Linked DNA regions of Mus musculus. The protein of the gene in region 6 interacts with the protein of the main gene of each other region in a pairwise test. Links are inferred from orthologs where the notes say so. Each region holds a gene or a part of one and is shown on either strand. Other genes may lie near its edges. The genes, in order: Ric8a, Nudt18, Spg21, Wdyhv1, Syt16, Rabac1 and Dusp12.

Evidence for each region.
Region 1: the proteins of Rabac1 (region 6) and Ric8a interact in binary tests that used the Homo sapiens proteins (3 or more experiments, as listed by UniProt). The link is inferred for Mus musculus from reciprocal best matches to the Homo sapiens genes RABAC1 and RIC8A.
Region 2: the proteins of Rabac1 (region 6) and Nudt18 interact in binary tests that used the Homo sapiens proteins (3 or more experiments, as listed by UniProt). The two-hybrid records come from large-scale screens. The link is inferred for Mus musculus from reciprocal best matches to the Homo sapiens genes RABAC1 and NUDT18.
Region 3: the proteins of Rabac1 (region 6) and Spg21 interact in binary tests that used the Homo sapiens proteins (3 or more experiments, as listed by UniProt). The two-hybrid records come from large-scale screens. The link is inferred for Mus musculus from reciprocal best matches to the Homo sapiens genes RABAC1 and SPG21.
Region 4: the proteins of Rabac1 (region 6) and Wdyhv1 interact in binary tests that used the Homo sapiens proteins (3 or more experiments, as listed by UniProt). The two-hybrid records come from large-scale screens. The link is inferred for Mus musculus from reciprocal best matches to the Homo sapiens genes RABAC1 and NTAQ1.
Region 5: the proteins of Rabac1 (region 6) and Syt16 interact in binary tests that used the Homo sapiens proteins (3 or more experiments, as listed by UniProt). The link is inferred for Mus musculus from reciprocal best matches to the Homo sapiens genes RABAC1 and SYT16.
Region 7: the proteins of Rabac1 (region 6) and Dusp12 interact in binary tests that used the Homo sapiens proteins (3 or more experiments, as listed by UniProt). The two-hybrid records come from large-scale screens. The link is inferred for Mus musculus from reciprocal best matches to the Homo sapiens genes RABAC1 and DUSP12.

The regions. Positions count from the first base shown.
Region 1 is NC_000073.6:140,856,059-140,860,196, reverse strand, and holds the start of Ric8a (synembryn-A), read right to left. Parts: upstream 2,801-4,138; 5' UTR 2,727-2,800; coding exon 2,643-2,726; intron 2,353-2,642; coding exon 2,305-2,352; intron 2,216-2,304; coding exon 1,625-2,215; intron 1,335-1,624; coding exon 1,243-1,334; intron 759-1,242; coding exon 608-758; intron 1-607. Other genes in the region: Bet1l (BET1-like protein), read left to right, coding at 3,958-3,976.
Region 2 is NC_000080.6:70,576,620-70,580,623, reverse strand, and holds the start of Nudt18 (8-oxo-dGDP phosphatase NUDT18), read right to left. Parts: upstream 2,801-4,004; 5' UTR 2,676-2,800; coding exon 2,514-2,675; exon of another isoform or gene 2,117-2,513; intron 1,713-2,116; coding exon 1,499-1,712; intron 1,291-1,498; coding exon 695-1,290; 3' UTR 1-694. UniProt on the Homo sapiens protein: Mediates the hydrolysis of oxidized nucleoside diphosphate derivatives. Hydrolyzes 8-oxo-7,8-dihydroguanine (8-oxo-Gua)-containing deoxyribo- and ribonucleoside diphosphates to the monophosphates. Hydrolyzes 8-oxo-dGDP and 8-oxo-GDP with the same efficiencies.
Region 3 is NC_000075.6:65,459,635-65,463,736, reverse strand, and holds the start of Spg21 (maspardin), read right to left. Parts: upstream 2,801-4,102; 5' UTR 2,583-2,800; intron 1,037-2,582; exon of another isoform or gene 833-1,036; intron 1-832. UniProt on the Homo sapiens protein: May play a role as a negative regulatory factor in CD4-dependent T-cell activation.
Region 4 is NC_000081.6:58,140,014-58,144,165, forward strand, and holds the start of Wdyhv1 (protein N-terminal glutamine amidohydrolase), read left to right. Parts: upstream 1-1,352; 5' UTR 1,353-1,479; coding exon 1,480-1,568; intron 1,569-3,194; exon of another isoform or gene 3,195-3,256; intron 3,257-4,152. UniProt on the Homo sapiens protein: Mediates the side-chain deamidation of N-terminal glutamine residues to glutamate, an important step in N-end rule pathway of protein degradation.
Region 5 is NC_000078.6:73,996,600-74,000,576, forward strand, and holds the start of Syt16 (synaptotagmin-16), read left to right. Parts: upstream 1-1,177; 5' UTR 1,178-1,251; coding exon of another isoform or gene 1,252-1,264; intron 1,265-3,977. UniProt on the Homo sapiens protein: May be involved in the trafficking and exocytosis of secretory vesicles in non-neuronal tissues. Is Ca(2+)-independent.
Region 6 is NC_000073.6:24,969,929-24,974,205, forward strand, and holds the start of Rabac1 (prenylated Rab acceptor protein 1), read right to left. Parts: upstream 2,801-4,277; 5' UTR 2,655-2,800; coding exon 2,599-2,654; intron 2,387-2,598; coding exon 2,174-2,386; intron 1,931-2,173; coding exon 1,833-1,930; intron 261-1,832; coding exon 159-260; intron 148-158; exon of another isoform or gene 82-147; coding exon 1-81. UniProt on the Homo sapiens protein: General Rab protein regulator required for vesicle formation from the Golgi complex. May control vesicle docking and fusion by mediating the action of Rab GTPases to the SNARE complexes.
Region 7 is NC_000067.6:170,882,741-170,886,695, forward strand, and holds the start of Dusp12 (dual specificity protein phosphatase 12), read right to left. Parts: upstream 2,801-3,955; 5' UTR 2,668-2,800; coding exon 2,327-2,667; intron 1-2,326. UniProt on the Homo sapiens protein: Dual specificity phosphatase; can dephosphorylate both phosphotyrosine and phosphoserine or phosphothreonine residues. Can dephosphorylate glucokinase (in vitro).

The DNA.
Region 1 (4,138 bases), about 120 Mb from region 6:
TTGTGGTTATGCCTCTTTAAGATGCAGAGGGACAGCTGGGGGGTGGGGGTGGGGTGACGGTGGTATCGGTACACATCTTTAATCCCAGCACTCAGGGGACAGAGGCAGACAGATCTCTGTGAGTCTGAGGCCAGCCTGGTCTACAGAGTGAGTTCCAGGACAGCCAGAGTTACACAGAGAAACCCTGTCTTGAAAACAAAACAAAACAAAACAAAACCAAAAAAATGCAGAGGGACAATGTCGCCTCTGGCTGCCCATGTATAGAAACACGAGGAGCCTGACGGTTGGAAGCGGGAACTAAAGGCTTCTGAGAACCACTTAGCAGAGCCACAGAGACCTAAGGGCTACCTTTCACCTTGGGACCCGAGAAGCTTGCTCTCCTCTGGTAATCAGCAGCAGGAGGGCTCACACACACAGTGTATCTGCAGGCTTCTGCGAGGGCCTGACTGAGCGGCCACCGTCTAGCTGCACCACAGAGCAGTCAGAGCAACTGTCCACGATATATCGTCAAGCTGAGTTCTACTCGCCAGTACCAATGGTTCAGAAACAGCAGTCACAACAGGTGCCCGAGCCCCTGGGTGTCCACGTAGCAGGCCCCCAGTCCTACCTGGTGCAGACGTTTCTCTAGGAAGGCGAGGAGGGCACTGATCACATCCATGTTAACTCCCATGAACTCTAAGGATCCTTCGTGGAGCTCCAGGGCCAGAAGCACATCCAAACACTTGAGGGGCAAGTTCCCCAGGAGATTCACCGTGTGGCTGGGGACAGACACACAGAGGCCTCGACACAGTAATTATATTTAGCACAGATACACTCCCTGGCCCTTCTCCTGGGGTACACATGGATGGGCTCGAAGGGTTGCACTGAAAGCAATAGACTATAGGCAAGGGCAGGTGGTACCCCAACTCAAATTTGGTGGGGAGATTCTGCAGACGCTATCTGGGCCATTATGTCTGAGCTGAGATGCCAAACAATCTCTCGAACCTGAGATGAGCAGAGGCACCAGCAAGAGACCATACTGCCTCCGCCTAAGGCCCTGTCTCTAAGTTCATAGCTCTTCTCTTAGCCATACCTGAGTTACCTAGGCTCTCTGGAAACAACACTGGTGCCCCATTCCCCTGATGAAGTCAAAGGTGGGGCCTGGGCCCCCAAGTGCTTCTGATTCACAACTAGGGTTAAGGACTTCTGTACCCATACCTAGGAACTCTTGCCGTCCCCAACATTGTGAGCCCTACCCCTCACCCGTGGAACTCCTCTGTGCGGTCCCCAGCAGCTTCAACCATCACGCAGTGCCGCAGAAGAGTCCCCAGGTACCGGTAAAGGGCAGCATCTTCCTAACCAAAGACAGAAAGGGGCTCCTGTGAGATCGAACCCCTGTTCTTGTGGCCACATGGAGTTGATCCCTAGACGCTGTGCACAGCACATGTGGTGCTTTTGGCCACCTGAAGCACTGTGGAGAATACCCACCTGCAACCCCATGCACAGTGCGGCTCAGGCACCTTCCCTGAGTTCCCGCCTACACCATCCTCTAGTCCTCGCCATATCTGATACCCTGCAAGCTGAGGTACAAAGGGAAGCAAACTGTCCCACCCGAACTGAGTCTCAGCCAAGACTTCCAACCTACCTCATCAACTTCCCTCTTGACAGAGTCAAAGGTGATATTAAAGAGCACTTTGAGGATCTCCATGGCCCTCTCCGTCTCTTGGGCTGGAAGCATCACCGGAGGGTTTTCTTTGGGGGCCACGCCCAGTGTTAGTTCCAGCGCATCAGTCAGCAGGCGTACACCGTGCAGCTCCTGAAACAGTTGCTGGCGCACATCCGTGCGAAGGGCTGTTAGCAGGAAAAGGAGCCTCAAGTCAAAGAACTGGACTTCGTGGGGATAGCTCCTCTTGCGGTACAGTCCCACACGCTCCGCTAGCCTCACCACCAGGCGAGCCTCTGCTGCTAGCATCTGTGCTGTTGGACTGCTGAGCACAAGATTACACAGGCATTTGAGAGACTCGAGGAGGACATCCATGTCTGGGGACTGTGGGATGGGTTCCTCTGAGACGGTAATGTCAGCATAGCAGGCTAGTGCATGTAAGCTCTGGCGGCTGGCAAATGAGTCCAGGCAGCTGCGGTCTCGGGATAGGATTCGGATAGTCTGCAGCCAGGTGACACGGTGCTTTGGTGACAAGCCCTGCTCCAGGACGGAGACCAGTAGCTTTGCGAGTCTCTGTGGGGTCGAACAAAAGTGGTTCCACTAGGCCCTCTTCTTGGGGTCAGCCCGTGCCTGCCCTAGGAGCCCTTGGGGCTGACACCTACCTTCCTGTCCTCCTGCTGGGCATCATCGAAGGTGAAGCTCTGAGAATGCTGCAGGGAGACCCAGGAGGCTCAGATCCACATGCAGGTAGGACCCGTGCTCCTCGAGTCAGAGCAGACCTCTGAAGCAGCATCCATCGCTCTGAACCTTAAGGCAAGGCCCACCCTAGCCTCCCATACACCTGCCCCACCACACGCCACCACAGAGCCACCCGAGGGACCAGCCCACCACCCACCGCCGTGCTCCCTGCCACCACTCGCACGCACACCCCAGCCGAGTTGCGCGCACACCCCTGCTTCCTCTCTTCCTGAAATTTCCTCGGCAGCCGGATGCCTCTCACCTCCCGGTTGAACGACCGCAGAGCTTCTGTCACCGCATCTTCCTCTCCGGTCTCCAAGGCATCCGCAACTGCCCGGGGCTCCATGGCCCCTGGCACCGGGTGCTGGAAGGCTTGGGCTGGGAAGACGCAATCGGCCAAACCCCGGGGCTCCGCCCAGGTCCGGAAGCCCGGCGTCCACGCGTGAGGGATGCTGGGAGAGCAGCCGAACCCAAGGGTGTGTACAGGCGCCTCCGACTTAAGGTGGAGCAACCCGGCTGTGGTCGCTGAGCGGCTAGTCTTGGAGCGGCGATGCTAGCTAACCAGCCAGGCAGTGTCCTCCTTTTGAGCCCTCCTCTCTAGCCCGAGTTCCTGGCAGGCGGGGGGTGGGGTGGGATGGGAGGGTGGGGAGTGGGGTGTGGCTTGGCCCGCGCGTGGACCGTCCTCTTTACGCTCTTGTCCCCGTACTGTGATAAAAAAGGGAGCGCCGGCTCCTGGCCGCTTAATCAGTTGGGGAAGACGATTCTCGCGATCCAGGCCTTGGAGCTCATCTTCCATAGGGAATAGGGAAAGAGAAGTACAACGACTTGGATGGTCAAAATAATGCACGTGGTTAGCCGGGCATAGTGACGCACGCCTTCTTAAATCCCAGCACTCGAGAGGCAGAAACTAGCAGACCTATCTAAAAAGAATAGCCACCAAAGTAATACGGTTATTCTCAAGAAAATTGCAGAGAAGGAAGTGAAGAACACCCGTGGAAAAGCCACTCCCGCGAGAGGAGCAACGGAGGGGCGGCCAGCCGAGGCGTGTCTGAGGTTAGAAGCGTAGGAGCGCTGTGTAGCGGGGAGCCAGGTCCGCACGCCACTTAGCTGAGTCGGTGCCCCACAGTGACACATACAAACAGTGCTCCAGTGGATGATGTCACCCGCCGTGCTAACCGGCTCTGCCCCTACTCAGTGGCAGGCCCCGGCCGTCTCCTTCACCAGTCTCTTTCGGGTCTGCCTGTCCTCCCCATCCAGTTGGATTTAGCAGCGCCAGAGGCATCCGACTGATTTACTGAGCTGGTTCCTAGCCTCTGCTCCAAATTTGGGTCTGAACACCTGCTCCGAGTAACACCCACAGCGCAGGACTAATATTGCTGACCAATCCGTGGGTCCGAATGCTGGTGGCCCGCCCTTCCCTTATTTACATTCCCGAGAAGCACTCCAGGTCTGTTTCTTCCGCTTCAGAACCTTCTCCCGGAAGTTATTAGCCCGGAGGCGGAACCGGAAGACCCGGGTACTGGTGCCACGTCCGTTGCTGTGCTGCGAATTCCCTGAGTGGGACCCTGGAGGGCGCGATGGCAGATTGGACTCGAGGTGAGAGCACTTGAAAGGCAGTAGAGGTAGGAGGGGAAGTCTAAGTCTGGAGCTGGAGACATCGCTCGTTTCTCGGTGGAAGGACCTGCGTGGGGTGGCGCTTACGTATCCCTGGAAAAACAGGGCCGGATTTCGCCTGGCGCTGCCTTGGAACCCAAGCCG
Region 2 (4,004 bases), on a different chromosome or scaffold from region 6:
GCTCAAAGAGAAAAAGACTGGCAGAGGCCAACGTGTCATCCTCAGCTCTTTCTTGTTCCCTAGGCAGTTTCACCAGACCGAACCGTTCAACACCTGGACAGGTCTGAGCTGTGCTTTTATTAGGGGTGTGGTCACTTCAAAGTCCCACGCCCGCCCTGACAGGACAGGAACACTAAAAAGAGCCTGGGTGGGTCGAGGCTTCAGCGAGCATCGATGTCTGCCTCAGGATCCTTACATCCCTGCATAGCATCAGTGTGTACACGGTGAGGAAAGACCTGGGTGACTGTGGGTGGGACAGTGCCCCATATCCTCCCCACACAGACATTTAGGCAAGCAGGCAGGTTAAGCAATACCTTTTTACTCAGCAATGAGGACTCTGCCCTGAGGGATGCGTCCCCCATGTCCCATCCCTCTCTACATTCCTATGGGGTTGGAAGGATTGACATGCAGCCTTTTCCAAAGTGGACAAAGATGGTGCCATTTAGGGTTCAAAAAGTTCCTCACCAACTTAAAAGACAAGTACTGTGTGCCCTCAGAACTGAGCCCTTGAAAAGTGGATTCAAGACACCCTCCCTTTGGGCTCAATGTGTGGTCCCTGCCCCCTCAAAATGTGCAATGAGATCCCTGACTGCCAGCCTTTTCTCTGCCTCAGAGGGAGGGGGCAGCTCAGCTTTTGGTCCCTGCTGGAATCTCTCTATCTGCTCAGGGGGATCACAGAAGATTCCTGGAGTCTGTACAGAAGCAGTTTTTGTAAATCTTCCTCTAATACCTTCCACCAAAAGTAGTTTTCACCCCGAATCTTTGGGGGCTCGTCTTGGATTCCTGGGTTCCGAAAAGCCACGGTCACCAGCACATTCAGGCAGACACCATCCACATGGTCTCTGCCTAGGTGTTGCAACCCAAGCAACCCCTTGGTCTCCACTGCCAAACTGTGCAGAGTCAGACACTCCTGTAGGAGCCTCAAGATGGCCACCTTGATGCCGCCCCTTTGTTCCATAGGGGTAAAGCCACAGGCAGTGATGGGCAAGTGAGGTGTCCCCACCGTGCCCACCAACACCCACACCGACTGGACTGTTGTGAAGGTGGTCACCAGCCGTTGGCAGACCACACTGCAGGGGAGCTCTTGAGGCAGAATGAGAGGGTGCATGGCTTGTTGGCAGAATTTGGCGCCTAGCTCTACCAGGTGCAGAACATCATGGGCTCTAAGCGGTGTGGGCAGGGAGACCCGTGGGTACCAGCCGGCCTGGAGGGACTCAGAATCAGCATCTTTGGAAGTCTTGAGAACTCCGCCTAGGAGAGATTTGGGGGGTGGGGTGGGAAGAGGGCCAGTATGAGAAGGGTTGAGCCTGAGAGAGTAAATGGCCACCCCAACACTCCAGAGAGAGAGAGACCCCCAAAAGCTCTTAGCCCGTAGTAGGTCAATGGCCATAAGCAGAAGCCCACAGTATGGCTGGCTATGGATGAGGGACCGTGAGAAATGTCACTAGGTGGGGGATACCTGTTGGTCGAGCGAGGAACACAAAGCGGATCCAGGAGGCGCCCCTCTCCTCCACGGACAGCAGTGTCACTGGCTCACAGAGCAGCCCTGCCTCCTCCTTCACCTCCCGCTGCATGGCCTCCACGATGGTTTCTCCTGGTTCCATTCTTCCTGCAGGGAGGTACCATGTCCCCCGGCATTCCCTCTTGGCCTCCTGTATCATCAACACCTCATCCTGGGAGGGAGGGAAGTGAGACAATCTTCACTCCTACCCAGCCAGTCTGGGGGCTTCAGAAGAGTAGCCCCTACCTGGATGGCAGCCCAAAGCTCCCTTCTTGGTAGACAGACACCTTTAGGATGCTGGATCCTCAGGAGTCAGGCCCTGATATGGCTGAAAGCAGTGGCTGTCTCCGCTTTGCTGTAACTCAAACCCAGAGGGACTTCTGTTGTAGAAAGGGGCTGAGGACCTTGGGCGTTGCTCTAGGAGGCTTCCTCCTGAAGGTTGCCACCACTCCTATACTGACTCATTTATGCCACTGTCTTGCTCTTGTTCCCATGGGACTTACAAACCGCCTGTGTCAAGTCCTCAATCTAGGGTCTGAGGCTTTGAAACTTAGCTCCACCCCTATACCAACCTACCCCTTCTTGGCCAGGATTTTATAACGCTGACTTGTGCAGAAGTGATCACTAAAAAGAACTCTCACAGGATCGGAGGCCTGCATGTAAGCTCCCCATTACTCTCCCGAGGCGCCGGGAGAGTCTAGACTCCTGGAAAGGAAGGGGGCATATTACAGGCCTCTCCTGGTGGGGGGCGAGGTCTAGTGGATGAGATAAACCGCCCCGGGACCTCGGCTTCTCCTTCCATATTATAGAGTCTACAGAAGGACGATCTCAGCTCAGCTGCTAGTGTTGAGAGTGCTTTGCAACATTGGGAAGCGCCACATACAGGCAGCGGCCGTTGGCTCGCCTGTTCAGATCAGGGCAGGCGGCACGCTCCCGAGACCAGCCGAAGGCCAGCGGCCGGTCGGACGCTCACCTGCTCGTTGAGGAACACGGCCAGCACCACGTAGCAGACATTCTTCCGCAGCCGCACGGGAAACAGCGGCTTCCCAGCCGGCTCCGAGTCACAGCTCTGCACCAGCAACCCCTTTCCCCCCAGCACGGTGGCAAGCGCCCCTGCCAGGCCCTCCGTGGCCATCAAGTCTCCGGGGAGGTGGCAAGCCGGGACCTGCCAGACCCCCGGAGGCAAGCGGCCGGGACCTGAGCTGCGGTGGGCCGCGGCGCCCTCGCCCCCTCCCCTGACTTGAGGGCCAAGACTAACACGGAACCTCCGGGAGAGACCTGGTCGCTGATAGGCTGCGCGTCACTGCGGCCTGCCCGGATTGGCCAGCTCGCAGCGGTTATCGGGAGGGCGGGGCGCCGGGATCCTCCCTCTGCCCCCTCCTCTCCTGGGTTTCAGCCTCACTTCACACTCTCCCTAGCGATTAGCTAATTCACCCAGCACGCACTTGTCCGCGCGGGTTCCGACGGTGATGTCATCCTGCCTGTAGGGTGATGAACACCACTGTGACCAGGGTCGATGGCGTCACTCGTCCGATGACATTACGGAAGCCCAGACTCCGCCGTTCGCTCCCACTGTCCAGCTTTTATCATAAACGAACCACAGAAGTGCTCACGACGAATAGGCCCCAAATAACTTTCTGACTTCGTTAAAATGCTCTGAATGTGGTATGGCTCAGGCACATAACGTTGCGTTAGAAATTCTGATCTGTCTAGGTCGATGGACACAGGGCATTTTAAGAGTCCGAGGCTAAAGGATTGGTTTGGGGGTGGGGTGGGGGATGGGGAACGTGATTGACAAGCCTCAGAGGAGGGATGGGACAGGTGGTCAAGGTGGGACAAGGCTGGGGATGAGAAGAAGCTAAGGGGGGGGGGGATGAATGAAAGGGAGATTGAAGTCAGCACTGTAGCCTGCATCCGATCCTGTGCCCAATGCTTTTCCCAGGCTTCTGAAACAGACTCCATCTTTAGAGGGCAGGGGTGGTGCCCTCCTACCCAGCGTCCAGGGCCTGGTCATGAGGAACAGGGTGTGGGTTGTTTTGGCCAGCTCCTGCTTCTCTCCCAGCCTGACCTTTCTTCCTCTGAGCTTCTTTAACCTCCACTCAGGACAGGAAGGCAGGGCCAGCTGAGAGGAATCCACAAAGCAGGCCAAGTCTGGGCTCCTCACCCCATCCCAGACTTCCCTTTCCTCCCCCACTGCTGGCTCTGTGTACCTCCTTTGGGGGACAGTGGCTTGATGGTACTGACAAAGCTCTGGAGTTTAAAAGCCAGACATCCAGCCTCTGCTGACTGACGTGCTCTGTGCCCTGGGTGGCCTCAATGTCCTCATCTGTACAGTAGGTCTGTAACAGCCCTCCTTTTCCATACTTGTTGAGAAGCCAAGAGAGCTTGGGAGAAGCCATGCACTATCTGAACACCGTCACCAGGCAGCCCACCTGTTCTCCAGGTAGGGTCTCAAAGCCATAGT
Region 3 (4,102 bases), on a different chromosome or scaffold from region 6:
ATGAACTAACCAGTACCCCCAGAGCTCGTGTCTCTAGCTGCATATGTAGCAGAGAATGGCCTAGTCCGCCATCAATGGGAGGAGAGGACCTAGGTCTTTCGAAGAGTCTATGCCCCAGTATAGGGAAATTTCAGGGCCAGGAAGTAGGAGTGGGTGGGTTGGGGAGCAGGGGGAGGGTATAGGTGATTTTTGGAGAGGGGATAGCATTTAAAATGTAAATAAAGAAAACATCTAATTAAAAAACAAAAAAAAAAACTAAGCCATTTAAACCATTTTTAGCACATCTTTCACCATTTAAAACTGCTTTATTTGATAGCTTCATACATTTATGTAGTACATTTTAGTTAATTTAACTCTCCTGTCTCCCTTTAAGTTATTACTTTAAAATAAAAGCAACTAGCGGCATATACAGTTAATCCTGGAATATTTTATATCAGGACAGACTTGAAATACCACCACAGCATCTGTGCACTTCCAACTGGAAACATTTTCTAGAATGTCTGCAGGAGGGAATATTAAAGACAGGCTAAACAGCCAGGTGTGATGGCACACATCTTTAATCCTAGCCCTCAGGGGCGGACAGCTAGCTCTCTGGGAGTTCAAGGCCATCCTGGTCTACATAGTGAGTTCCAGGCCAGCCAGAGCTATGCAGTAATAGTAAGACCCTGTCTCAAACACACAAAGCTAAAACATCAATCAACTTGTTAAAGTTTACTTCTAGGATCGACCAACTTACAAAAAAAAAAAAAATTATCCACAGTTTTAATAAGATGCCACTCACAAACCAAACTAGGTACAAGCACACAGGCAGGCACACAAATGAGCTACCTACTTCTTTCCCACAGTGGCCGAAGGGTAGTCCTTACCGGGTCTTCAGTATAACTCACAAGCAGCTCAGTACTGACCACATTGTAACTAATCTTGATGCATAAGAGTTCCTACACAGCTGTGAGGACACTTTTGCAAGGACAGGTGATTCTAACACTTGTGCTGGTTGGGTGGTGAGGAAAGGTGAGACAGTTACCAAATGTTGCCAAATGTTGCGTAGGACCAGCTGACGGCTAGGAAGAAAAAAAAAAAAAAAAACCTGCTGCAAAGCTAAAGCAGCTGTGAAGGGTATGAAAAGGAAAGTTTGTTCTAGCTCTCTTTCATCCACTTAAGCCGGATGCTTTTCCAAGTCACAAGAGAAACATTCTTAAAAAAAAAAAAAAAAAAAAAAAAAAAAAAAAATCTGTGGCCCAGAAAGTTAGCTGAGACTGTGACCAAACTGGTCAGGATGAAAAGAAACATGGGCAGTGTGTTCAGGACAGATTTGCTTTCTCGTGACTCTGTTCTTTACAAAAAACAGAAGCACCTGTTCAGGCTGGTGAGGAAAGAGGCAGAGATAAGCTTTATCAAGGAAACCCCTCCTCCCGCTGGCCAGGATGCTAAGGCTCCCCAGCTCTTCTTGGACCTTGCGTTGCTGGACAGTAAGTTGGCTAGTTGTGAGAGAGCATGTACTTGGCCTTCAGAGTTTCAACAGAACCTGCAGTTCATAGCTGAGGAAATCGCCTCTACAAATGTTTAACACACGGTCAGTCACATATTGCTGGTCCTTTATCTCAATGTATAGGTGTCTTATATAGGGACAATCTGTGGTTGTTAATACAACCAATTAAAAAGGTTATTAGAACTAGAGAGCCTCTAGGTGACATAACTATGGTTCTCGGTGTTGGGGAACGCTCACCATGGGCTTTTACCACTGAACTACACCTAAGGCCCTGCGGCGGGCTGTTCACTACACATCTTCATCCTTCACCACACCTATATGTATTAAATAGCCATCTTTTTGGAGATTTCTTCAGGTAAGATTTATCCTTTCTCCAGGAACCTATCCACTTCTCTCTAAATATCATGAGAGGAGACGCTGCCCGCACATCTTTCTCTCTGACCACTCGTTTCAAGGTTCTGGTGTAAAATCTTTTTGAAAACTCATACACAGCTATTAGACGGCTTCCCAATGTGCAGAATCCTTGCAAAAAGAGAAGCTAGACCACTGCAGATGGAGACAAAACAACATCAGCCCCTAACTTCTAACTCCCTGGGAAAAGAAGAAAAAAGGGGGGGGGGGTTTCTCTCGCCCTGCTACACTCTTCATGACTCTTTCACAGGCCTCACACCTAGTCTGAGGTAGGATCTTTAAAACAACTCTACTCGCAGCCCTTAAAAGTTGACTGAAACCAAAATGCTCCTGAATTTCTGCCCCAGGATGGGTGGCTCAAGAAAATGAGGATGTCTGACTAAGGATTTTGGGCACCAATCGCCATAGGGGCCGCCCTGGGTTCCACCAGTTCAGAAACAACAACAATCCGCAATGAACCGAGGCTGAACCTTAGACAGACCCACAGGCACAATCGGACACACACAGGCGCCCGCGAGAGCGCACCACACGCACACACAGAGATATGGATCACGTGCATGGTCACAAGGACCTGCCCACTCGTGAACTCTGCTCGTAAGTCACGCATGCTCGATACACGCCCACCTACAACCCTACACGCACCACACACCCACACTCTTGCTTTCCAGGGCCTGCCCCTCACCTGCCGTGGCCGCTCCCGCGTCCCTTTCTTTCCAGCCTAGACGGATCTTCGCCCCGATTTGGGCGCAGAGGATGGAGTCGGCGGGGCGCGGACTGGACCGGCGGCCGCAGATCAGGAGCCCCGCGGGAGCAGCGGGCAGAGGGGGCGCGCGGCCGAGCAGCCAGAGGCCACCGCCTCCCAGCTTTGGTACTGCGAGCTCCCCGGGCGCGCCTCCCGCTTCCGGGTTCCGAGGAGGCGGGACCAGATGGCGAGGAAGGGGCGGGGCTCTGGTGGTTACTATGGCGACGGGGCTGGCAAGGGAGGCCCTGTTCTGAGATTTGCGGTGTCCTAGAGGCTGTGGAGGCTGGTGGTGGATAAGGGTCAGTTCTTGGTCACTTCTGACAGGAGCATGGAGGAGGAAGTGAAAAATCTAGGCTGTAGGCCCCGGGGATGTGCTTCTGACTTCGGTTTTTAGGCGTCTTCATGCTTTGGTGGGGAGACACTTTTGGTCCATAGCTTTGGTGAATAGGCCTTGACATAGTCTTTTTAAAACATTAGTATATATCAGTTCATTACAATGGCTTAATTAGGACATTTTGATACCTATATAAAGAATTTGGATCATCACCCTCCCTTAGTCTCTGCCTCCCATGTCCCATTCCCCTTCAGCCTCCCAACTGCATATGCTTTCTCAGCAAAATTGTTTTTACCTTTTGTATAGACGCTGTCCTCTGACCTCCTTTCAAAGCCTTGTCTCCTTTTATGGCTTTGTGCTGATGTTGAGGGGGTATACTCAGCGCTGGTTTGCCCTCTTCTGTCAGGCACAGTCTAGTCACTGTTCTTACGAGAGATGTGGCAGATGCCACAACACCTTTCAGTTAGCTTACAGCTTTGCTCTGAAATAATGCATAATAATATTGAGTGACCTGTCAATCTTGTTTGAAAATTTGTAAGGTTCCTAAAGCAAGATCCTAATGTTTTAGGGACTTTTAAAAATATTTTTTATTATTATTACTTTTAATCGTGTGTGTGTTTGTGGGAGAGAGAATATATGGTGCACATGAGTGTAGTTTATAAGGAGGGCAGAGGAGGATCCTAGAGCTGGCATTACAAGTGTTTGTGAGTTGCCTAACACGGGTGTAAAAGTAATATGTATTCTTAACCTCTGAGCAATCTCTCAGCCCCCACGTGTGTGTGTGTGTGTGTGCGTGTCCCTGTGCCTGTGCATGTACGTGTGCGTGTGTGTGTGTGCGTGTGCCTGTACGTGTGTGTGTGCGTGTGTGTGTGTGTGTGTGTACGTGTGTGTGTTGATGCCTGCTGAGGCCAGCTTTGGACCCCCTGGAGCTGGAACTGCAGATGATTAAGATGGATCAAGCCTGACTGGGTACTAGGAACTCAGCTTTGGTCCTCTGGAAGAGCAGTAAGTTTGTTAACCACCAAACCATCTCTCCAGGCCTAGAGAGCACAGACGAAAACAATGACTCAAAAAAACAAAAACAAAACCACAAAACAACCAAACACTGATCTATGGCTCAGGAGTC
Region 4 (4,152 bases), on a different chromosome or scaffold from region 6:
AGAAGGCCATTGCTGTCCACACACAACTGCAAGCAGGCTTCCCCAAGTTCTGGTGTCTGTCCAGAGCTGACTCCACTGGAGGGCAGGATGATCACACAACTAGCTCTGGTCCCTTCTAGAAACTGCAGGGATCCTCTTTCCCTTGCAATCTCTTTCCATCCTTCTACTGAGAAAGCTTAACTTCACACTCACTTTGTACTAACCAAGAGAGGCTTCATGACTGCCACTCCCTGCCTCCCAGCCTCTGTTGAAGGGAGTATTCAAGCTGAAACAATAAATTGGTAACAGACACAAACACATGTTTAGTTTGTAGGATTTATGGGTTTTGGACAGCAGCTGAAGTTCACCAGAATACCACCAGCACAGCACTTTATGGGGTTGGGGTCTCAGAAGGCTGAGAGTCTGTGGGTGGCCTATAATCTAATCTTAAGAAGTCCAGCGTTTGCAGGGAGGTTCTCTGAGCACTTAAGGCACACACAGGAGACTGGGATGTCTATAGAGACAGTTCTCTATGTCTTTAATTCACTATGCATAAACACTGTTTTAGCAATTTGGTGTCTTCTCTTTTGAAAATAAATATGATTAACACAAAATGCTATCCAGACTCTTTAAATCTTTTTTTTTTTAAAAGAAAAATTCTTTTGTAGTCTAGGATCACCTTGCATTAGAAGCAATCCTCCTGCTTCAGTCTCCTGCATGCAAGGACTTTAGGTGTCTGTCACCACACCTGGTTAAAACTTTTTTTCTTTAAAATACACACACACACACGGAGAGGGAGAGAGATCCAGATGAGAAGAAATTAAATTACAATATGGTGAGATCTGGGTGCACTGCACTAACACCCCCCCCCCCCCCCCCCGTTCGCCTTTCTTTCTCAGTTCCTGCTCTAAAGGTTCAGCTTTCGTGCGTGCCCAAGCATCTCTTAGTTTAGAGTTTCTTCTGGTTTCACACAGCGGGCAACCTTAGCTGGAGTTTTAAGTGTATCCGGAAGCTCATATCTAAACACTGGCAACAACACAAGCAATCCCTCCATGGGAGGGCGACTAGGTCTACGCAGCGTAGCTCAAGAACAGGTTCGGTTTGGGGTCCGGGTGGTGGGGGGGGCGGGGCGAGAGGGAAGCCTCTAAGTGCATCCCGCTCTGCCACAGGCTCCACCCACCACGCAAAACCTGGCAAGAACTACACAGTTCAAGTCATCCTAAGATTCGCATTCCCAGCCCCCTCTCCACCAGCCTCGCCCCACCCCCACCCCCCTCAGATCCCACTCATTCTCTCAGGCCCCGCCCACCCGGAACCACGCAGGCTTCGTCATCCCGGGCTCCGCCCTCACGCTGCACGGGGCCCCGCCCACCCGGCTCTCGGCTCTCCCACCCGGAAACTGTCCTGGCCGCCTACTCTGTTGTCCTCTCCTCCTGGGAGACTGGCGACAATTGCGGCCAGCGGGTTGTTTAGTTGACCTGTGAGCCACAGCTTCGGGTCATGGAGGGGGACGGCCCCGCCGCCACGGCCCCGCAGTACCAGCCGGTCTGTCCTACGCGGGACGCATGTGTCTACAACAGCTGCTATTGGTGAGAGAGCGCGGGCGCGGACCCCGGGAATCTGCGCGGTTTCGCGCGCCGCCACCAATGCGCCCCTCTCCTGGATGCTCCCCTGAGTGCTGCTGCTGGCCTACACTGCCCGGGTTTAGCGCCGGGATGAGGAGGGTGGGGAACGCATTTCTGGTCTCCTTAGCTGAGCCTGAGCAGTGGGGTGAAGTCGGGGCGTCTTAGTGCATAGGGACAAGGGAGGGAGGGGAGTTAGGCTGGAGACCCAATGGTAACTGTTGAAGTCTGCATTGATTCAGGTTGAAGTATACGTCTTTATAATTTTAAAGACAATGGAGACACAGAATTTGTGGTAGTAGGAAATCCAGTTCAGGCAACTGGCTACCCTGATTACCTTACTGGCATTACCTTACTGGCCATATGATAATGGTTGCATTTGCACCATCCTTGCCATATGCTAGGCATTGTTTTGCGTGCATGGTGTAAATTAACTCAGTTGAACCTCACAGTAATCCCAAGAGGTAGGTACTGGTGTGATTGCAGCTTGGAAGAACTCTGAGGTACTGAAGGGTGTGCTGCTGTTTTACACAAGGCCCCGGGATTGTGAGGTTAGTGTCCTAGGCTGCTTGTGCAAACACCGTTCACCTTGCCTTTTTTGTCCCTAGGCCTCATCTTCCTTTTGTGTAGGGACTGCTATCCCAACTCAGGAGAAACCTCAGGATCATTTAAATAGACTCCTCTCAACTCTAGCTGGTCACTCAAACAAGGACTCTAAGAACTTAGCATTCAGCTGTGACTGACCAGTGACCACTTTAGCTCAAGTCCAAGTGCTTGCCCTGGTTCTCAATCTTCCAGGGCTGTGACCCTTTAATACAGATCTTCTTGTTGTGGTGACCCACAGCTGTAAAAACTTCGTTGCTATTTCACAACTAATTTTGCTACTGTTAAGAATCGTAGTGTAAATATCTGATATTCAACGCCATGACCCACAGATTGAGAACAGGGGGTGGTAGAGCGATGTCTTGGAGACAGGTTCTGTGGTAATTATTGACACTACAAAGGCTGAACTATAGAATGGTTGTGGTTTGTCCCAGACCACACAACTAAGTGGAATGAGATCTGGAGTCTACATGGTGGTTGGGAGTCCTTCTTTTTTAGCTGTTGCATTATAGATCTGCTCCGCCTGGTTTCCAAATCCTGCTAGTTTTTATCTGGAACATTTACTCTGTGTCTTCCATTTATTTAGTAAATATTTCGTAGGGATGTGAAATGTATGTTGGTTGATTCTATGCACAGAGGATAGAGCAGTAAACAAGGTAGATAAATTTCCTGGCAGTGCCAAGGACTGGCCTCAGCTGGGACCGGGTTTCTGAAAGAAGGGGTGTTTGGGAGCAGTGAAAACTACTTGAAGTCAAATTGTTGGTCCATGCTGGTGGTCTATGTTCCGCTGATGTGGCTTTCTAGACTGCTCTCTCTGTGTCTGCTTGAGACAGCTTTTTCTTGCTATTCTGAAAACTTTTTGGTTGAAACAGCTAGCTTTCTGCTCAAGACAGCTCTCTCTGCTATTAAAAGTTCTAAAAGCTCTTTGGATAGCTCATGGGTTTGCTGACCAAGTCAGAAATCCTGTTAGAAATACTCAAAAAGTAATTCTTGGGTTTTCTGATCAAAATCAGAAAGCCAGAAAAAAAATTCTAAAAGAGCTGTGTTCACTCTTCTGCCAGCTTTTTCTGTTTAGCTGCTAGGAGACATGCTAACAGAGCTGTGTCAGTAAATCTTATTAGAGAAAATTCTAAAAGAGCTAAGAAAAGATCTGAAAGAGCTGTGGTCGCCCTCCTTACATTGTCCCACCATGTTCCAAATCCTGTTAGAAAAAAATTCTTAGCCGGGCTTGGTGGCGCACGCCTTTGATCCCTGCACTTGGGAGGCAGAGGCAGGCGGATTTCTGAGTTCAAGGCCAGCCTGGTCTACAGAGTTCCAGGACAGCCAGGGCTACTGAGAGAAACCCTGGGAGGGTGTGGGGGAGGGCGGGAAGAAAGAAAGAAAAAAGAAAATTCTTGAAGAGCTGTTCTCAACCTCCAGGTTCCCCTTTGATTATCCTATGAATCCTGTGACCCCAGGCCCTTAATTCTTAGGAGACTACAAGCAGATTTTCTCCCCCTTTTTTTAGCATTGTAAAAGAATTCAGAGATCTGGCTGCTTTTGTAAATTTAGCTAGTTGGGACCTTGTCCGGAGATTACCATTCTGACCACTCCTGGACCTAAATTTGATCTGTTCCAGGCTTGAACTCAGAAATCTGTGTCATATAGAGTAGCTGCCTCTTGTCTATTTAGATCTGTGAAACTCCTTATACAATTCATATTGCATCCTTATGTTTTTGCATAGTTGAGAAATTATATATTTTCAAACTCATGTATTTAGAGCTCTTTCCCACAGCCTTAAGGGCTGTCCTGAGGGTCACAGTATTTACCATTTTGCTGAGACATTAGCCACACCTTCGTTTTCTGGACTCATGCTGTCTCAGATTCTCATGGAGTCATTGATGTTAACTGGGAGGAGGGCATTCCTCTGAGGAGTGTGAAAAAATGTCCATAATTATACAAGCAAGCA
Region 5 (3,977 bases), on a different chromosome or scaffold from region 6:
AAAATGAAAGCCGCAGCCAGCAGAATGTGGATGCGGTTCACCCTCATCGTGCTGACTCCCTCACCTACATCCTGTGGACTGATCAGAGAGGACCCTTTTGTTGTTTTCCGGTATTTTCCTTTGCCCACCTGGTCAGACGGCAACTGTTTCTGATTCTGCTTTGCACCTGAATTCTGTTGGTGCCCAGCGATGCCTGAGATGACGCCCACTGGCATCCTTACTGTTTGGGTTAAATGAGTGGCCTCAAGCCGACCAAAGGCATCGTGCCTGCACAAACAACAACGAAAAACAAAAACCCAATGCCTTCCCGTGCTTAGGCTTTGAGTTTGAGCCACTTGATGCTTCCCCATGTGGTGGTGGTTTCTCATTTGCTACTGGTCCCTAAATATAGCAAGGATCTTTCAGTAATTGGTTTATAGCATTCAACAAGATGTACTGCGAACAAACGCCCACAGGTGGACTCATTTCAAAGTCCTTTTAACCGCGATGGTCCTTGAGGCAATACTGATTGCTTTTCTCGTGGAGCTGGTCCTTTAATACAAGTCATCGGAGCCGCCTGTGGTCTGGCTCGCAATTATCCACTCGTTAGTCACCCATCCTGTTCACATCTAATTAGTTAATTGGCCATTTATTCACTAACTCATTAATTCACGCAGGTTTCCAGTTAGAGTCCTCCATTAAGTCGCTTAATAGAGATCTGATAGCCTACTACACACAAGGCTCTATTTTCACCTTGGAGACAAAACAAGAGGATGAGAGGAGTCTTGGTCCTCACACACAGGAGGCACCTGTGTGATCCTTGCTTCTCTCTCCCCCACCTGCTCCCTGCTTTGCTCCTTTGAGCTAGGGCTCAGGGTCGACATTGCTGGAAAGAAGCACCAGGCCCGGATGAATTGAAAAAAGCAAGGCAGGATACCAAGTGTTTGTTCAGCGGGAGAATAGAGCGGGCAAGAAACCTGGAGAGGAGCGGGCCAGGTTGCTAGCTGCTTTGTCTTAGGGAGGGATGATGCTACGGGCTGGGCAGGGCAGGTTCGGTGGCGGTCGGCTCCGCTAGGGTGTGGGGACGCTGGCGGGGGCGACCCAGCTGGCAGCCACCACGGGGCTCGGGGCGGCGCGACGGGGGCGCGCGGCGGGAGCGTCTGTGCGCGTCGCGGCCCTCGAGCGCGCGGGGCCTGTCGAGAACGCGCGCGGCCGGGCGCGGCGTGGGTACCCCAGCCGCGGGCGGCCGCCCTGCAACCCCCCGACGCGACCATGGCGACTGACAGTAAGTGCGGGGTTCCCCGGGGGCGGGGGCAAGGCATCCGGGGTGGCAAGTTCTCCTCCCGCGCGCGCCTGCCTTTGTGCCCAGCTCGCGGGGGCAGCGACCGGGTACCCCATCTCCGGAGCCCGCCCTTGTTACCGTGCCCATCACCTGCTATGGCTGACAGGACTGGATAGGGTTGGGGATCCGAGGACCTCTCAGGAGGGATGCAGCACCCGACTGGAGGGGACACTTGATGCTTGAAGGCAGCAGGGCTGGGCCTCGCAGCCCTTTGGGGACTGCCTCCAGGCCCACAGCCAGTTTTTAGGGAGCCCAGTATTGGGGCGCTGTGAGTTCAAGGTTTTCCTGGAGTTCTGGGTCAGATTGGCACGCCCTCTTCCTGGTGGGTGGCCCCACTGGGCTCTGTTCTGGGGCTCTGAAGCCACAGACCTTGCCTGGCTGCCATGGAGAGTGAATGAAAGGGGCGTGCAGAGAAGGAAGGTTGACACCGAAGACTGGAAGAGTTGCAAGGCTTCAGGCTGGCCTGCTGTTGGCATCTTGGAGTCTTTGCTGCTGTTTTTGGAAATTAGGGTTACCGCTAAGAAAACTGGTTACATGTAGCTGTAGCTTGACCTGTTAGTGGAACCTCAAAAGGAGTGCAGAGTAAAATAAGTCACAACACTTGTCTTAGACTTAGCATCTAAAGTCCTCAGCAAAAGTCATGGCACACAGTAGGGACTTCATTCACTGAATGTACCATGTGATTACAGACAATAATAAGGCAATTTTGAGAGATGAGAGGGGACAAAATAGGTGTTGAGGGTCAAAATTTCATTATTTTTTCCTTCAAACTTATCATTATTCAGTCAAGAACACAGCTTGCATACAGTACAGAGGATGCACAGTTTCGAGTTAAAAGCTATGATGACATTTTTATATCCCAAGTCCCTCAGTAGTGGGATTGTGGCCCTGTTCCCAACCTTAAAACTGTGGCTGTTGGATTTAAAGGCTCAAGTCAGTAATCCCAGGACTTGAGCGGCTGAGGCAGGAGGATATCAAGTTACAAACCCTGTTTCAAAAAAAGTATATGTATGTGTAGATTATGTGTATACACATGCGTAGTGAGCCTGCCATACCCGGGAAAGTGATGGGTATCTATCTCATAAGTAGTAGGCATGCAAGAGAAATGGACATGTGTGTGGTTGCTCACTCATCTCCCATTCGCCATCATTTCGTTTGTGTGGCGACACCAATGGACCCTCTCTGCTTTCTGTAGATCAGGGGGTGGCACAAAATTAACTACTAGAGACAACCCTTTTTGCTCTCAGCTCTGCTTCTATGGACAAAAGTATACACATTAGGTAGGTCTAGGGGGAAGAAGCTATACATTTAGATTTTTATTAACAAAGAAACAATTGCACTTGCCCTTATTTGTGTAAATGGTAACTAAAGAGTTCCAGCGATACAGAATTTCTATCTTCAGTTCTTCAGGTAAGGGGATGTCAGGTGAGAGGCAGGGGGACGGGGAACACCATCACACAGTGAGGAGATGGCCTCACTAAGATGCATCAAACCTGGGTACAATCTGCCTCGATGTTGCCTGATTGCTTTTGTTTCGGGGTTCTCGCCTCCTTACATTTCTCCTTGAGGGAAAACCCAGCTGTAAAGCCAGGCAGAGGGCAGCCTGTTGTGCTCTGTCGTTCTTGGAAGGGATCCCAAGGAAGCTTCTCTGTGATTATAGCTTGTGAGTATAGGTAGGACACAGAGGTATTTATATATATATTTGTCTGGAAAACAGTCTTTACACACAAAAAGGATGAGAACTCGGAGAGACTGTCCTGTGTCCAGACGCAAAGTCATAGATTGAAGGGCAGTTTCAAGAGAAGTTGGGATACTCAGTTGGTTTCCAGTAAGTTATTATGAAATGGTTACGCGCCTAGGTGTGCGTTGTAAATGGTGCTACTCAGAGGTATTTTGAGCTATGTTTGAGGTAATGGGTAATTTTGTTCCAAGTAGTTTCTATTTGTCTTTCCTGTGTGGCATTTGTTGCATTATCAATACTTTTTATCAAGGATCTTCACTTTTGAATCACTGTTGCCTGGTTGTTTTGAAGGTGCCTTTTTATATGTGCATGCTCATGAGTGCACATGGGGGGTGTGTGTCTATAATCTATCTTTAAGCATGCATTTTCTCAAGGGGCTGGAGAGATTGCACTTCAACTAAGTGTGTATTCTGCTCTTCTCAAGGATCCAAGTTTAACTTCCAGCATACATTTTGGGTGGCTCACAGTCACCTGTAACTCCAACTCCAGGGGTTTCAACACCCTTGTCTGGTCTCTGAGGGTCTCTGAAAATACCCCCTCATAAACACACAGACACATATAATTTTCAAAAATAAATCTTTAAAAAAGAAAAACATTCAAGACACATTGTATGAAAGTCTTGAGTAAATAGAATATTACTAAAAAAAAAAAAAAAGAAATAAAAAGAGTAAACTCTCCAGGACAGCAGGCATGCTTTGAGTGGTTGGAGATAGCTAACTGAAGTGTGCCCCCAGAAGTCTCGGGCAATCCTTGGGCTGCTGGATCTCCAGAGGTGTTGCAGTAAGTATTCTGTATCTTAAGGAGTTTCTCTGGATTGCTTGGGTTGTTCCTGGTCCATTGCATGGATGCTCATGAGTCACCGTTGCCTGGTCCATTTAGAAGCCGATTGCTGCTAACCCACAGGCAGGCAGTCTC
Region 6 (4,277 bases):
GTTCCATCTGCAGCTCCTCGCCATCTGCAGGCTCCATCTGGTGGAAGGCAGCGTGGGAGCCTATGAGTACCAGCGTGGCTCCTGTAGGGGGATGGGTGGTTCAGGCTGTGCTCTTTCGCCTGGCTCCCAGCCTCACCCTACACAGACCCTGTACTCACCCAGGACCCAGAAGACAGCAGAGCCAGCACCGGCCAGCCAGAAGAAGGGGAAAGAGACGCCACCAGCCAGGGCATACTGATGTGCTGGGCTCACCTCCCGGCCTGGGAACAGATGGTGTAAGGTAGCCGTTCCCACCCGACCCTTTCCCACAAGTGTCCAGGGTCACTTTCCACCCATCTAGTGTCACAGACTCTGGAACCTTCCATGTAATAATACAGACTCCTCACATCAGTGTCTCCCATACCTGGCCCCTACCCTGCCTCCCCAAAGCCCCCTGTCCCCATAACAACCTTCCTCTGCCCCACCTCTGCTGTCTAGCTTCACCTCTCCCAGGAGCCCTCAGGTCACTTCAGACTAGGGCCTGATGTTCCACCCTGGTCACCGGGAGTCTCAGGCTGGTGGCTCCACAGTCAAATCTGACCTAAGGATTTTTGTCCCCTTTTTTCCTTTGTTAAGATTTATTTCTTTGAATTGTGTGTATATGCCCTGCACGCATACGTGCCCAAGATCAGGTGCCCATGAGGAGGTGGCCATGGGCACCCACCTGACTTGGGTGCTTGGAACCAAACCAAGAACAGTACTCAACTGAGTACTCAACTGCTGAACCATCTCTCTAGGCACTTATTTTGATTTTTTTTTTTTTTTGACAGGGTTTCTCTGTGTAGCCCTGGCTGTCCTGGAACTCACTTTGTAGACCAGGCTGGCCTCAAACTCAGAAATCCGCCTGCCTCTGCCTCCCGAGTGCTGGGATCAAAGGCATGCGCCACCACCGCCCGGCTAGGCTTATCCTGAACTTGTAGCAATCCTCCTGTTTTAGCTTCCCAAGTGCTGGGATTAGAGGCACAGGCCAGCTTCTGGTTTTAAGGATGTGTTCTTTGATGCACCTTGCGAGAATTTGGTTTGTGGGGGCTGGAGAAGGTGACTCAGGAGTTAAAAGCACGTATTCTTCCAGAGGGCCCGCATTACACATTTTTTAAGGCTAGGGCATAGCAACACACTCTTTAAACCCTAGTACATATATATTAATTTCCTCCACCCCCGCCCCACGCTCTCCTATGCCTGAAAAGTGTGTATGTCCTAGTGACCACTACCTGCAGAAGCCAAGTTCTGACCTGCTTCAGTCTATTTCTTTGCCACAGCCTATCTTTGTTTGGTCCTTAAGCTTGCTGGGCTATGAAAGACTTATTTTAAGTCTCCTCGGAAACTTTTGGATTCCCCTCATTGGGTCTTCCCTGACACCTTTCTTTCCAGTGGTCCTGGTGACAGTCTGGGGCCACCGGACTTACAGATCTCAGCCTTCCCCTCTGAGAATCATCAGGGCCAAGACTTGGGAAGGAACACGGATCTAGGCCTGCATGAGGTCGCCACCTGGTGTGCAGTGTGGGTATCTGCAGCTGATGCGTTCCGTGGGGGGGGGGGGGGGGGGTTGAGTGGAATTGGATTAAGTCATTTACAAGAGACAGAGGTGCCAGGGCTTTGGGGTCTCTCTGGGTTTGGGAAGCTGAGACTGGAGGGGAGCACCTGGTGGGTCTAAGCCCTTAAAGACCAAGTTAAGTGACTCTAGTGGACAGCTCGGTGGGGGCCGTCTTGGGTCCCAACTATTCGGAAGTTTGCATTCCGTGAGACCACGATCAGAAAGGCCCGAGGAGCCATTTGGGCAGGAGATTTCTTACCAAAGAGTACAAGCTTAGACTGCAACGTGCGCAGATAGAGAATGTAACAGGCGCCAAAGAAGACAGCCAGAGCCACCAGCAGCATGGGAGATGTCACCCTGGAAGAGTGTGGGAGACAGGAGTTAGGTATCCGAGGCTGCGTCAGCCAGGCCCCTCTAGCTTTGGACACAGACTGAGGTTACGTCCTTCTAGGCCAGCGAAGGCCACATCCTGGTCAGGTGAATGCAGGAGTACAGACTGACCGGGTCCTGTAGTGACAAAGTGGGCTAACTGGTCTGGGCGGGGCCTGGCAGCCGGGGGCGGGGTCTGACTATCGAGGGCGGGGCCGCAGAGGCACTCACACGCAGTACAGGATGAGGCCGAGAAACACGAACACGTAGTTGCTTTGATAATACTCCACGTTGCGTACCAGGCGCTGGCAAAGCTCTCCCACATTGCGGGGTCGCGAGAAACGTTGCTGGTCCACGAAGGTGCCCCAGGGCCGGATGGTCGCCCGGCGCCGCTCCAGCCACTCTCGGCCTGCGCCGGATGGAATCAGCTTGGGCAGCAGGGTCCTAATGGGCAGGGCAGAGCAGAGCAGCTGAAGGGAGGGAGAGGGTAGAATCTGGACCCCAGATTCTAGCACACCTGGTCCCAAGCATGACCTTGAACCCCTAGGAGGAAGGGTCCTGAGAGGGAGCCAACAGGACTGAGTCCCTCCCAGGACCTCTGAGGAGATGAGGGACTCCTGCATCTCGGATCTGGGGGTAACACCCTGCTTGCTCACGTGGCGCTCAGCCCTTCCCCTTCGGCATCCTTCTGCTGGTCCTTCTGGGCCGCCATGTCTGCACTGCAGTGGATAGAACCGCTGTAAATAGCCCGGAGCCCAGCAGCACCTAGGCGGCCCCACCCCAGCCGGGACTCTTTGGAAGTGGCGTCGTTGGGAGCTCTAGAGGGCGGTAGTTGTTCCTCCAAGCATTGTGGGTGTTGTAGTCATCGTGGCGTCAAGAGGCAGGTTTGCCTCGCAAGACATCTTGGGAGATGTATGCTAAGAGCTCGTCGGGAGCCTCTAGGCATTGTGGGAATTGTAGTTTCAGGAGGCTCAGCGTGGACTACAGCAGGTGGACTGTCAGGACAGAGGATTTTGTGGGAGTTCGAATGGCAGAAACGTACTTCCGTGGACCGTGCAGAGCTGTCGTTCTGGCTCGAGAGAGCTTAATAAAACATTGTTCGAAAACTCAGATATTCTGATTCTAACTGGGCAAGTCTGGGAAAGAGTTCATTTACTTTTTCTTTCCTAAAAGTATTTACTTTGAAAGTGAGACAGGAGAGATGGCTTACTTGTTTCTCTTTCAAAGGATCATAGCTTGGTTCCCAGCATCCACACCCAGTGCTTCACAACTGCCCGAAACTCCAGCTCTAGCCAATCAGACATACTCATGTGCACATACCCACACTCAGATACACATGATTTAAAAATAAATGTTTGCATTTTAAAAGAAAAGATTTACTTTTATATGTTTATGCGTGTGTGCCACCAGAAGAGGGTTTTAGAGCTCCTGGAACTGGAGTTACAGGCAATTATGAGCTGTCTAGAAATCATGGGTGCTGGGAACGGAACTCCTCCGGGTTGGGATTTCAGTATGGGCCACTCAGCAGGAAATTGTGTCTGGGTTTCCCACTTGGGGTCCAGCATTGCTTCAGATCAGTGGAGGACTGCAAATGTACAGTTAGCCTAAAGACTAAAGAGGGACACCACAAGGCCAGAGTACTGGAAAAGACAGAGAACCTTGGAAACCAGTTTGGCGGCAAAAGTCAGCTGGGTTTGACTGCTATGGGAACCAATTCAGTTTCTTTAAGAGGACTAAGCAAATTCTTTCTATTTCATGACCCTCAAGTCTCTGCTGCCCTGGTGGGAGTCGGGGCTTCGGGAGAAGGCAGTGGAGAAGGCAGTGGGATCCAGAGGCAACACTGTTGCAGAAAGTGGCAAACTAATTCAAAGAATGTAAGAAATTTGAATACTGGGATTTTTAGGATAGGTGTCTGGAAGCTGGGAAAGGAGTCCTTTGGGACAGTGGAAGCGAGGACCCTGAGGTAGAGATGTGATGAGGCAGGGGGTACTTTCAGGTTCCTGAGGGAGGAGGCTCACGTTAGATGGGTTTTGAGTCAGTAGGTAGTAGGAGACATCCGAGAAGGCTGTGGGAGATGGGACTTGGCTCTGAGCTCTTTCCTGTGCTTCCCAGAGCAAGTGGCACTGGGAAAAAGCCAGAAGATATTAACAGGAACTCGAGACCTTGATCATAATGCCGGCTGCATGACTTCAAGGGGCCTCCCCCACTTCTGTCCTGTGCTGAGTCCCTCTGTCAAAGCGGATGCTCCTTCCTGGTGCTAGGTGATTGAAGCAGAGTATGTGGGTGTCCCAGGAGAGGTCTTGGCCCATGCAACTCCTCCCTCCCAGGATCGTCT
Region 7 (3,955 bases), on a different chromosome or scaffold from region 6:
AACTATATACTACATAGATATGTTATATTTATATGACTATATATATACGTATGGGTGTGAATGTATGTTTATATGTTTCCAAAGAGAAAGAGACTTCAGTTCCAGGAGACAAGTGGAATTTCTGACTCTTACTGTTTCCTTGGAGGGAGGCAAGCTCCACAATAGGTGACCTATCCAGGCTGGCCTCCAAGCCAAGAGTCATAAGGCAGAAGTACACTATATAAAAGTAGAGTTATAAATCAATGTTATCTGGAGACTGGGGGCAAGGGGGTAGTGCTGACCTAGTCAGGCTCACAGGTGCTGATGGGAGAAAGAGGCCTGTAAGAGAGTAAGGTCACAACTGACATCTGTCAACTTCCTGCCCCAGAGAGCTGCAGGGGGCTGAGGGATGACCTGATTTCTGGGAGAAAGAATCAGAGCCTGTGATCTATCAGGTTGGGCTTAGTAGCTAACCACACTTTTTGACCGTTCTGTGTACATTTAAAAAAAAAAAAATGTAGTGGCTACAGGACAAATCCAAGGTCCAAGGTCCTTTGCTCTTAACGTTGGAGTCTCTCCAGATCTCAGTATTCGTGCTTTTGCTTCTCTCTCTCCCCACTCACCCTAGGGCAAGACAGAGAGGTTAGAAGACCTCTTCTTCAATCCTAAGCACAAACTCCAGAAGTCGTAAGTAGCTTATGTGTAATAACACCAGCACTAGGAGGCAGATGCAGGAGGACCGCAAGCTTAAGAGACTGTCTGGACTACACAGCAAACCTTCCATCTCAAAAACAAAAACAACAAAAATATGGAGAGAAAAATATCACTCTAACTTTCCTCCACCTTACTAAGAACCCGCCACAAAGGCATTCTCTTAAGATTAGGGCTATGCCGCCACAGTAACAGAATGTTTGCCTAACATGCTAGCAAGACAAATCAATTCTCGGATCTATTTAGTCTGATATATCCTAAGACAATAATTCCAGAAAGGGCTTTGCCTATACACCAGAAGAAACAGCTCAATACAGGTCAGGCTGACTTTCCTGGCTCATTCGCTAAGCATTATGTCACACTCCTCTTGTCCAACCTCTTTTTTTTTTCTTTCTTTATTTTTTATTTTATTTCATTTTTGGTTTTTTGGTTTGTTTTTGTTTCCGAGGCAGGGTTTCTCTGTATAGCCCTGGCTGTCCTGGAACTCACTTTGTAGACCAGGCTGGCCTCGAACTCAGAAGTCCGCCTGCCTCTGCCTCTGCCTCCCCAGTGCTGGGATTAAAGGCGTGCGCCACCACCGCCCAGCCTCAATCACTTTTCTATACAACTGTCCAGTCTTAATTATTCCAAGAATGTGAACCGTTTTTGTCTTAGTCAGGGTTTCTATTCCTGCACAAACATCATGACCAAGAAGCAAGTTGGGGAGGAAAGGGTTTATTCAGCTTACACTTCCATGCTGCTGTTCATCACCAAGGAAGTCGGGACTGGAACCCAAGCAGGTCAGGAAGCAGGAGCTGATGCAGAGGCCATGGAGGGATGTTCCTTACTGGCTTGCTTTCCCTGGCTTGCTTTCTTATAGAACCCAAGACTACCAGCCCAGGTGGGTGGGACCTTGATCACTAATTGAGAAAATGCCCCACAGCTGGATCTCATGGAGGCACTTCCCCAACTGAAGCTCCTTTCTCTGTGATAACTCCAGCCTGTATCAAGTTGACTCACAAAACCAGTCAGTACAGTTTTCCTTTGGTCCGTGAATGTTTCTCTAAACTTGCCCGTCACGTATAACTTTGATTAAAAATCCTCCAGCATGGTTTCACACTCAAGGTGTGCAGCCCTCTGGACAGAAGCAGGTGGACATCTGTGCTTTTTGAAGCCAGCCTGCTCTACATAGCGAGTTCCAGGCCTGCCAGATCTATACAGTAAGACCCAGTCTCAAAAAACAAAAAGTCACATGTTTTTCCCTTGTTAATCACAGTGGCCTTTAGGGCGAGGAAGTATCACGTATTTTCACCCCAATACATCTGACCTGTATTACATTCGCCGGCTTGAGTGTCTGACTTCTCTTACAAATCTGATAAACTTTAACCTAACCCCCAAAATATAGACAAGCAGATAGAACGATGGACGAATGGACGGATAGATGGATGCACAGACAGACAGACAGTTGCTGCAAGATGAAATCAAACAAAACACTAACCAAGGGCGGGTTTTGGAACCCTCATTGGAACCACACACCCCAAGGGAAGATGAGGAACGAGGGTCTTGGCTCTGACAGCCTGGAACCTCCACTTTTGGGCGCCTCTGCAGAGAGGCGAGACCCGGTGCAAGGCACCGCCCCCCTGCACGTGGCACTCACCAGTGCACCAACACCGCGCGGCCTTCGGAGCGAGCCTGGCCGATGAAGGCCACGCAGCGATCCAGGTGGCTGAGCAGGTCGGTCTCGGGTTTGTCCAGCGCCGGCACGAAGAGGCTCCGGAGACCTTCGAACCCAGCCCCAGCCGGGAAAGCCGGTTCAGAGTCCACCGTCAGCACGGCGGTGATGCCCGCCTCCCTCAGATGGCCCGGTTCCGCCACTGCCGCTGCCCCACCCAGATACAGCCCGGGCCGCACTTCCACGGCGTGCCCTGCCGAGCTGGCGGGACTGGCAGTCGGAGCCTGGCGCTCGCAGCCATGGTTAGAACCCTGCGCTTCCAACATGGCAGAGCCAGGAAGCCAGGCAGCCGCTGCCCGCCACCAAGTCACCGGCTAGAGTGACTGACTCCTGTGTCGGAATAGCTCCAGCCGCTCAGCAGCGCCGTGGGAGGACCATGGCAATAGGGAAAATGACTGCTTCTGGGGAAGGTGATGTGAGCCGTGCTCGGGCTGTGTGCTTAAATAAGCTCCATTTAGAGCAGCTTTTCCACCCAACCTTCTAAAGTCCAAGGCAGAAAAATAAAGTCTCCATTCATCCGTTGCTGGTAGGACCACAAACTTGTACAGTCACTATGGAAATCAGCTTGGAGGTTCCTCAGGAAAATGGGAATCTATCTCAAGATCCAGCAAAGCCACTCTTCCTACCATTTGAGACATTTGCCCAACCATGTTGCCTATTGATGCCTCATAATAGCCAGAAATTGGAAACAACCTAGATGTACAACAGAAGACTGAATAAAGAAAATGTGGTACATTCACACAATAAGGTATTACTCAGCCATTTTAAAAAAAAAAAATAAAATTTGCAGATAAATGGATGAAACTCGGGAAAAAAAAATCATTCTGAGTGAGGTAACCCAGACCCTGAAAGACAAATCTGGTATGTATAAGCTTATATGTGGATATTAGCTGTGATAACTGATGTGTTAAAATAGAGGCTCGAGTCTGAACACAGTACACTGGGCCCAAACAGTTCCACGTGTAAGAATTTTATTGGGGGATGGGAGGGAGGTGGCGGCAGAAAGAGAAGTGAGGGAGGGAGGGAGAGGGAGAGATGGGGGCAGCTCTGGAGTGGGATGTTCTTCTTGAGGCTTTTGGGGTAGAGAGGGAAGAGCTTAGGCGGAGGGTAGGACTTTGTTGAGATATTTAGGGATGCTGTATAATAAAGCGTTTACTTATCTAAGCCTAAGTTACCGTGCTGTTGTAGCTGATCTGCCTTCTGTGATCCTCTGAGGCCAGAAACTACAGTTTCTGGCAACTAGCACCTCTTCTTCAAGCCACAAGAGAGATAGATAGATATGTCTATCTCAGCAGGAACTGCTGGGCTCTAACTTTCAGCCTGCTAGTCCGGTCTCAGGAAGAGAAGACACTTAGATAAATAATTATAGAGTTTATTACCAAGTTGTAAAAAGTTTCCTATGAAAGCTATCTAAGGGGAAAAGCAGAAAGATCCTGAGTGGGTAAAGGGAAAAATTCTCTAAGTGGGGAAAGGGAAAAGAATCTAGTCTAAGTGGGGAAAGGCAAAAAAGTCTCCTCTATTGATCTTAGCTCTCCATTGATCTTAGTTCTCTAT